Linked DNA regions of Oryzias latipes. The protein of the gene in region 2 purifies or fractionates together with the protein of the main gene of each other region. This does not show direct contact. Links are inferred from orthologs where the notes say so. Each region holds a gene or a part of one and is shown on either strand. Other genes may lie near its edges.

What was found. The genes of interacting proteins can lie anywhere in the genome.
Region 1: the proteins of nup98 (region 2) and nup62 purify together in Homo sapiens (affinity purification with western blotting; 3 studies listed by BioGRID and IntAct, with this or other methods). This does not show direct contact. The link is inferred for Oryzias latipes from reciprocal best matches to the Homo sapiens genes NUP98 and NUP62.

What each region holds. Positions count from the first base shown.
Region 1 is NC_019879.2:22,073,773-22,077,778, forward strand, and holds nup62 (nuclear pore glycoprotein p62), read right to left. Parts: upstream 2,810-4,006; 5' UTR 2,494-2,809; coding exon 991-2,493; intron 897-990; coding exon 738-896; 3' UTR 584-737; downstream 1-583. Other genes in the region: pdk1 (pyruvate dehydrogenase (acetyl-transferring) kinase isozyme 1, mitochondrial), read left to right, coding at 3,703-3,811, 3,955-4,006. UniProt on the Homo sapiens protein: Essential component of the nuclear pore complex. The N-terminal is probably involved in nucleocytoplasmic transport.
Region 2 is NC_019872.2:23,879,016-23,882,666, forward strand, and holds part of nup98 (nuclear pore complex protein Nup98-Nup96), read right to left. Parts: coding exon 3,530-3,651; intron 3,354-3,529; coding exon 3,221-3,353; intron 2,810-3,220; coding exon 2,717-2,809; intron 1,875-2,716; coding exon 1,737-1,874; intron 1,662-1,736; coding exon 1,528-1,661; intron 1,451-1,527; coding exon 1,263-1,450; intron 1-1,262. UniProt on the Homo sapiens protein: Plays a role in the nuclear pore complex (NPC) assembly and/or maintenance. NUP98 and NUP96 are involved in the bidirectional transport across the NPC. May anchor NUP153 and TPR to the NPC.

The DNA.
Region 1 (4,006 bases), on a different chromosome or scaffold from region 2:
CACTGAATCGGATTGTTTTTATTTTTATTCAATCCAAAGGGAATGTGCTAAAAAGACTGTTTTTATGGGTGTAACTGCTTCTTTTTGTCATATATAAAACAATTTAAAGAATTATTTCTAATGAATCTTCCTTTTCTATATAAAAAAAAAAACATCTTCAGCTTCTCCGTAAATTAAGTTTAAAACATTGTTTTGACAAAACTCAAACAAATGCTGAAGTCAATTCCCCTTCAAACGAGTGTCATAGCAAAAACATCCTAATTGAAAATCCACCTTGCAAGTATTAACCCTTGTGCTATCCTAGGCACTTTAACATTGGGAGTGGGGTCATCTAGACCCACTAGACAGTGCGCTGAACCTTTTTTCTTCAATGATTTGTGATCTTCACTGGTGTCCATGGATTACATGAAATCTTTCCACCTTTGTCATGGTAGGGAGAACACGTCAATGTAAGGGTGGGGTCATCTAAGATAGCACAAGGGGTAACATCAGTCTTAGAACAAGAAACAAATCTTGTCATTAGATGTTTTTCAATCCTAAATATAGATAAAAAACAGGTAAAATTAGGATGTGAAAACACAAAAAAGTTCAAAATTTGTTTTTAATCATTCTATTCAGGTAGATACAATTATAAAGATGATTGCATTTAAAATAGTTTTGCAACACACAATAGAAGTATAATAAAGGAGAAAATCCAAAGCAAAATGGGAAAAATAAGCACTGAGCCAAAAAACAAATCAGTCAAAGGTTAGACGAAAGGTCTTCTCCTGCTCTTTGCGCTGGGTGTCGCACTGTTTGGACACTTCCTCCACTCTTCTGTGCAGCAGGACAGAGTTCTGGTCGATCCACTGCAGCGAATCCATGTGAGCATTCAGGATCTTGCAAATCTGCTGAAGCTAAAGGATTCAAAAAGAAAGGAAGGCGATTAAAACAGCAGAAGACTTGATTTTATGAGAAATATGATTTAAAAAAAAAAGGCTCAGATCTTACTGGATCACTGGTGTCTGCCGGCCCGCTGGATGTGTTCAGGTGCTCAATGATCTCCTTCAGGTCCTGTGACATCCTCTTCAGCTGGGCGTCCACGTTCTCAGCGAGCTTGTATGTTCTTTCGCGTTCCTCGTCTGCGTTCTGCATGTAGATGGTTCCGCTCTGCTCCTTCACAGTCTCTTCCAGAGGGCAAAGCAAGTCCTCCAGCTCCTTCTGCTGGGACAGAATGAAATCGAGCTCCTGGTTGAGCCTTCTCTGGTCCAGCTTCACCTTCTCCATCTCCTTATGCAGAGACGTGATCTTTTCCCCGTTCTCCACCAGCATTCTGTCCCAAGCGTTGACCTGAGTTGCCTGCTGTAAGAAATGCCTCTCTTGGTCCTGAAGTTCAAGACTCCACTTGTTTATGAGACCCTCCAGCTGGGCGTAGGTCATCACCGGAGGGGCCGTGGTGGTGGTTGTAACGGCTGTTGCTGTGGAGGCTGTTGTGGAGCTTGAGATGGTCGGAGGTTTGAATCCCAGCGTGAAGCCTGCGGTGGCATTAGCTGTGACAGCTGCAGTTGTTGTGGTGGTGGTGGAGCCGGTGTTTGCTGCTGTGCTGGCAACGGACCCCAGAGGCTTGAGCATGAAGGATGGAGCTGTACCTGCAGCTGTGGATGCTGCCATGCTGGTTGACAACGCTGGAGCTGCACCCAAAGTAAAACCTGAAGTTGGCGCTGCTGCAGAGGTTGTGATGATAGGTGACGCAAACAGAGACAGGCCTAGGGTGGGGGCTGACTGGGTGGGGGCTGACTGGGTGGATGCGGGAGGAGCTGGTGTTGATGAGGGTTTAATTCCGAAGTTAAACCCTCCACCCTGGGTTGGAGCTGCTGGAGCTGCAGCTGCTGGGGCTGGCTGGGTGAGGGTGGAGGGGGCAGGGGTCCCGAAGCTGAAGCCTCCTCCCCCCGCTGCGATGGTTGTGCTTGCAGCTGAGGTCACCTGGACTTTCGGCGCTCCGAAGCTGAACCCTCCGAAAGCCATGCCACCTGATGCGGTGGTTGTTGTAGGTGCAACTGTCGCTGCGGGTGGGGCCTGGGAGGTAGCCCCAAAGTTGAAGCCCCCTCCCGCTGGAGCGGCGCTGTTCGTCTGCGAAGACAACATCCCGCCCAGGGTGAAGCCGGACCCCGCAGCTGGAGCGGCCGAGGAGCCTAAGGTCAACCCAGTGGCGGCGGTGGTTTGGGTAGTCGTGGCCAGGCCGAACGTGCCGGTGGCGGCGGCGGCGTTGGGTGTGCCAAAGGAGAAGCCGGTGCCGCCGGCGGAAGAGTTCTTAGCCGGTGCGCCAAAACTGAAGCCACCGGTCGGGTTGGCGTTGGTCTGACTCTGAGTCGGAGTGCCAAAAGAGAAGCCCGTTCCCGAAGCCGCAGCCGTGGAGTTCGTTAAACTGAAGCCCGGGGCCGGAGCGGCCGCTGTGGTCTTCTGCGCTCCGAAGGCAAAACCCGAAGGTTGCCCGAAGTTGAATCCGCCACTCATGTTCTTCCTCTGATAAAAACAAAATGACTTTACAGCTTACGAACAAAATGGTATCTTTCACCACAGTTTTTGGCGGGTCGCTAGCACGAGCTGCCGGTTCAACTAGCTTCACCGAAGAAAAACCGTCTAATGAGAGGACTTCTTACGTTAGCCACGGATATTTTAAATCATAGTCTAATAACTAATTCTTTCACTGTGCCGGTAAATATAATAATACTAGCGAAGCATCTTTAAAAAAAACGTGGGTAACTGACCAAACGTTTCTTTGAGCATACTTTCTGTTGTAGCTAAAGGAAGTGACGCCACTTTCAACATGCAATTTTGCCCTCAATTCTGTCTGTCAGAGAAAAAGCCCCACCCTCTAGTTTAGATTGACATCCTTAACACCAAATTACTGTGCCGAAATGAAAAATGCTGACATTTGATTGGTTTTTATTTTTTAACCTTACAGACAAGCACTGGGGATCAGAGCGACGGCATTTCAACCAGTCAAAGAGTTAATAGAGGACAAGAGATGCACAGAACGCACTTTTTAGTGTCGTAGATATGAACTACATGTTAATAATTCCTCTTGCATTTTGCTAAATAATTAAAATTATATAAATTCGTTTTGTTGTTAAACGCTTTAAAGTAAAACAACATATATTTTATTTGTCACGCAAATATGTATTACTTTCTACATTAGTGGTGTTTTTAGCGGTCTAATCTAACCCATCTGATATGCGGGTTAGGAACCAAAAGTGATCAATTTGTAGGTGGCGAACATCCCAAAAGTTGTATTCCAACCACCATAAAATAAAAGCAGAAGAATAATCTATTTAAATTGCATAAAAGTTGTCATCTTTATTTTATAAAGACTACTGCAAAATAGTTGCGTTGTTCTCTCGGCGTCGAATCAACTCTTTGAACTTGCTAGCTCAGCTGCGGAGTGGGTGCGTTTGCCGTGTTGACTTTTGACTGAATTTTACAGAGGACGTCCGAAGTGAGGGATGATGCTTTAGTCCGTCTGTGACCATGCCTGCAGCAGGAATTCAGTCCAAGTGGAAACACGGTCGATAATCGCAAACGTGCGGGCGAACTGCTGAGTTTAGCCAACAAGCTAGTGTGTCAACAAGCGTCACATATTTATTGTTGTGGCCGCGTGCGCCATAAGAATTCGGACGTGTCGTGTGTGTTTGAAATCTGATCAAGTCGAGGCCGGAGAGCAACATGAGGCTTTTAAGGTTCCTGAGGAAGAGCGTGGCGGTCGGGAAGGACATTGACTATTACTCAAAGTTTTCTCCTTCGCCTTTATCCATGAAGCAGTTTCTGGATTTTGGTAAAATGAATTTTAGATGCTTTAAATATAGTTGTAATTTACTCCCCCTCTCTCTATGTGTGTGTATTCTAGCTTATGGTTGGAATTTTAAAGGATACTTTAAAGTATTTTTGAAAGTCCTCCATGTTTTTGTCTTCCTTCAGGTTCTGAAAATGCATGTGAGAAAACATCCTTCGCCTTCCTCAGACAAGAGCT
Region 2 (3,651 bases):
CATTCATCTTCTAAACCCATTTCATGGGTGAAGGCAGGGGACATCCTGGACAGGTCCCAGCCCCCCAGCCACAAATCACACACACTCACACATAGAGACAATTTAGAGCCAGTTTTATGCCAGCTTCACCATATGCAGTATCATCAAAAGTCGATGCAGCAAAATGCAAGATCTGATGAACATCCAGTTCTTTCCAGAAGGACCAATGAGAGAGCAGGAGAGCATTCAAGTTTCTTTAGTTGACTTTTGGAGGGATTTAAAAGTTTCTGTTTCTTCTCAGTTCACAGACAAAGCCAAGCTTTCCTTACTATTCTGATAGTTGACGAGAAACTTGTGGGGGTGCGGACAAAGAGAGAGAGGGGGGGGGGGCTTTCTCCATTTGGGGGCCTTACTGGCGGATCCGCCACCCTTCGCAGAAAAAGATCCATTTGGTCCAGTTTTCACAGAACATAACCCTACAAGAGCCACAAAATCTCTTCCCCATTTAGAAAACTACTCTTCACTTGTTTGGCCATTAAGCCACTCATTTATAGAATGCAGGTTCTAAATCTTTACAATAGGTGAATAAGAACAGCGTTAGATTTTCTATATATAACATTTAACTTGCAGCACATTAAAGTTCCTTTTTTAAATAAAATACACTTCATGTCAAATAAGACCCTCCTCCTGCAGATTTGCGTGAAATAAAAAGGCTTCTGTTATTGTGTCATCCTTTCACTTCTTGTACTATCAAATGCAAACATGGCAGCATTGGTGTAAAGTTCAATGTTTAAATGCAATTCTATACTTTAAGACCCTCTAAACAACAACTAGACCCTGTTGTTGAGCAGAAGATCAGAGCATGTGAAACCAATTCTAATAATAAACTACTGCCAGTCCATTAAACCTTTCCGTGCTCTGACATGTTACAAATCTAAAAACAAATGAACCCAAACTACAAACCTGTTCTTTATTCAAAGTACTAGCATTTTTTAAAACAATGCAGCTAGTGGGGCTTTAATTTGGTTTATGTACAGTTTTTTTTTTTAACTATTGGAACGTTTACATGTGCATAAGTTGAGTCAGAAATGTAAGTACTTTCCATTCCCAAGGCTTCTCTCGGAATGGGAATTATTTCCAGACCCTCGAATTCCTTTTGCTCAGGGGCAGAAAGGTTTTTTTTTCATGCCCTACTGGACAGTGTTAGATTGATTGACATCATCATTTCTCTGATGGCGGCAAGGACCACGGCAGCTCATACGGTGTTACCGTGGAAACAGTACCTGGGAACAAAGGCTCCGTTGGTGAGTGAAGGCTCGTCGTCATCCAGACCGTCGAACAGCTGCGACTTTGAAGCTCCAGCAGATGTGAGCGCTTTGGGTCGAACTCTGGTGGCGGGTCTGGGGGTCAGCTTGTAGTGAGTGGGCGTGGTCAGAGCTTTCTGAGCCGTGGGATTTGTGGGTTTCAGACGCTGTCAGAAATAAAGCAGATGTGATCTGAAACTGTAAAGTTTACACTTTTTGGTCAAAGTGTCGAGCCTTTGTGTACCTCCTCCTTTTTCTTGGGGTCCGACAGCGGGTTCCTGAACAATGGCGAGTCTCCGTACGGCGAGTATGCCAGGATGTTCAGCTGCTGCTGGAGCATGGCCTGCTGAGCGGCGTTGGCGTTTGGATCGGTAAGCGCTGTGCAGATAGGTCAGACAGGGACTGTAGCGTCTGAACAGGCATTTGCGTTCATTAATCAGGGCATCGTCTTACCGACAGGCTGCTGCTGCGGTCCGAAGCCCAGCGAGCTCGTCCCGGTGTTGAAACCCGTTGTTCCGAAGGCTCCCATTGTTCCCAGCGAGGTGCCCAGTTTGTTTTGGGTGTTTCCAAATAGACTGGTTCCTGCTCCCACTGTGAGAAACACAAAAGTGCAGCAAGAAGGTGTAAGATTCTAAAACCCACCAGAACCTTTGACATATAAAGATAATCTATTAAATCTGAGGATGATTTAAAAAAAATACATAAAAAAACTAATGTCCCAGAGAAGCAGAGCCATCAGAGAAATGTTCCAATGGAAACTTTTATTTTGAAAATCAAAGGTCATATACTAATACCTTTTTCTGTTGGCAAACACTTCCTGTTTGCTGGATGCCAATTTTTCTATAGCTGTGCTTTTTTTATTCGAACACTAAAAAATTGTAATAATGCAAAGATTAAAAAAAAATAGTGTCTGTATGCATTACATGATTTCTTAAGTTACTTTGTATCAGACACGGTTGTGTTTCACATGCCTGACATGTTTCGGCGGAAGCTCTTCCGCCTTCATTAGAGTCGTCATCAGGTAATGGTGAAGTATTTAAAAACAGGTGATTGTGGCTGAGGCGGAGTCACCTGTCAAACTTTAACAAGCGACTCTGCCTCAGTCACTGTTTTGCCCTTTGAGGCACTTGTGATGGTCATTATGATTCTGGAATCATAATATTTAATGAATCTATTAAATATGCATAACTGTAAAAACGTCAATTTATGATTATGAGTAAAAGTGTCAAGAAGATAGTACCATTTCATAAGATCTTTGTAAATTTTCTTTACATTATAATTAATGTGTAACCTGATATCTAAAAATAGAATTGATGTGTTTTGTTTTGCCCTTTTTTATTGCAGAATTAAATTATTTTTATGCCTATAATAAATAGTTTAAATTAAAATCAAAACTGAGCTTTTTAAGGCCAAGATTCTGTTTCTATGGTTACCTGTCCCAAAGCTGGTTCCCAGTCCAGTCCCCAGGGCTCCAGTGGTTGCTTTGTTGCCAAACAGACCCCCCCCTGCAGGGGACGCTCCAAAACCTACAGACACAAAAGTCAAATGATTAATTTTCGTAAAAAAAATGTAAATATATGATATATATATATATATATATATATTATATAAATAAAAAATTTGGGGTTGCAGCAACAATCCATCAAATCTGAGTAACATACATATACACATACACATACATATATATGAATTAAAATTCAATTTTAAAGCTTTTTTTAAAGTAAAAATCAAAGTAGAGTTCCTTTTTAATGTTCGAAAATAAAGTTTAATATTTTGTTGCATTAAAACTAATTTTACAAAAAACAATTCAAAGAATGTATAGGATGGAATATTATATTGAGTCGTAGCAGAATGGAAAGACCCAGAGTTCACCCTAATAAAAACACAGCATTTAGGCCGGGCCCTGAACACAACAGGAGGTCCATGAAAACACTCACCGAAACTAGTGGGGTTGGTTCCGGTTCCCAGAGTCAAAGGTTTGGCCCCAAACATTCCAGTAGTGGTGCCAAAAGATGGGGCGCTGGTGGTGGTGGCACCAAACCCAGTGGCTTTGTTGCCAAACAAACTTGGCTGTAAGAGAACAGTCACACCTGTGAAACCAGAACCTTATGGAGAGCTTTTGTTCTGATGGGTTTTCCTCCAGGTCCCTAATTAACTTTTTTTACTTTCAGAATTCTGAAATTATTGTCAGAAGTTCATAAGGAAGCCTACTTTACTCTGACAGACATTTTGGATCTAGTTCTTACCTGCGTTCCAGCAGTTCCAAATCCTGAGCTGGGTTGTCCGAACAATCCAGTGCCCGTACCAAATCCTGTGGCTGTGCTGGTCTGCGTCAAGCCAAACAAACCCCCCGGCTGGGAAGCCGCAG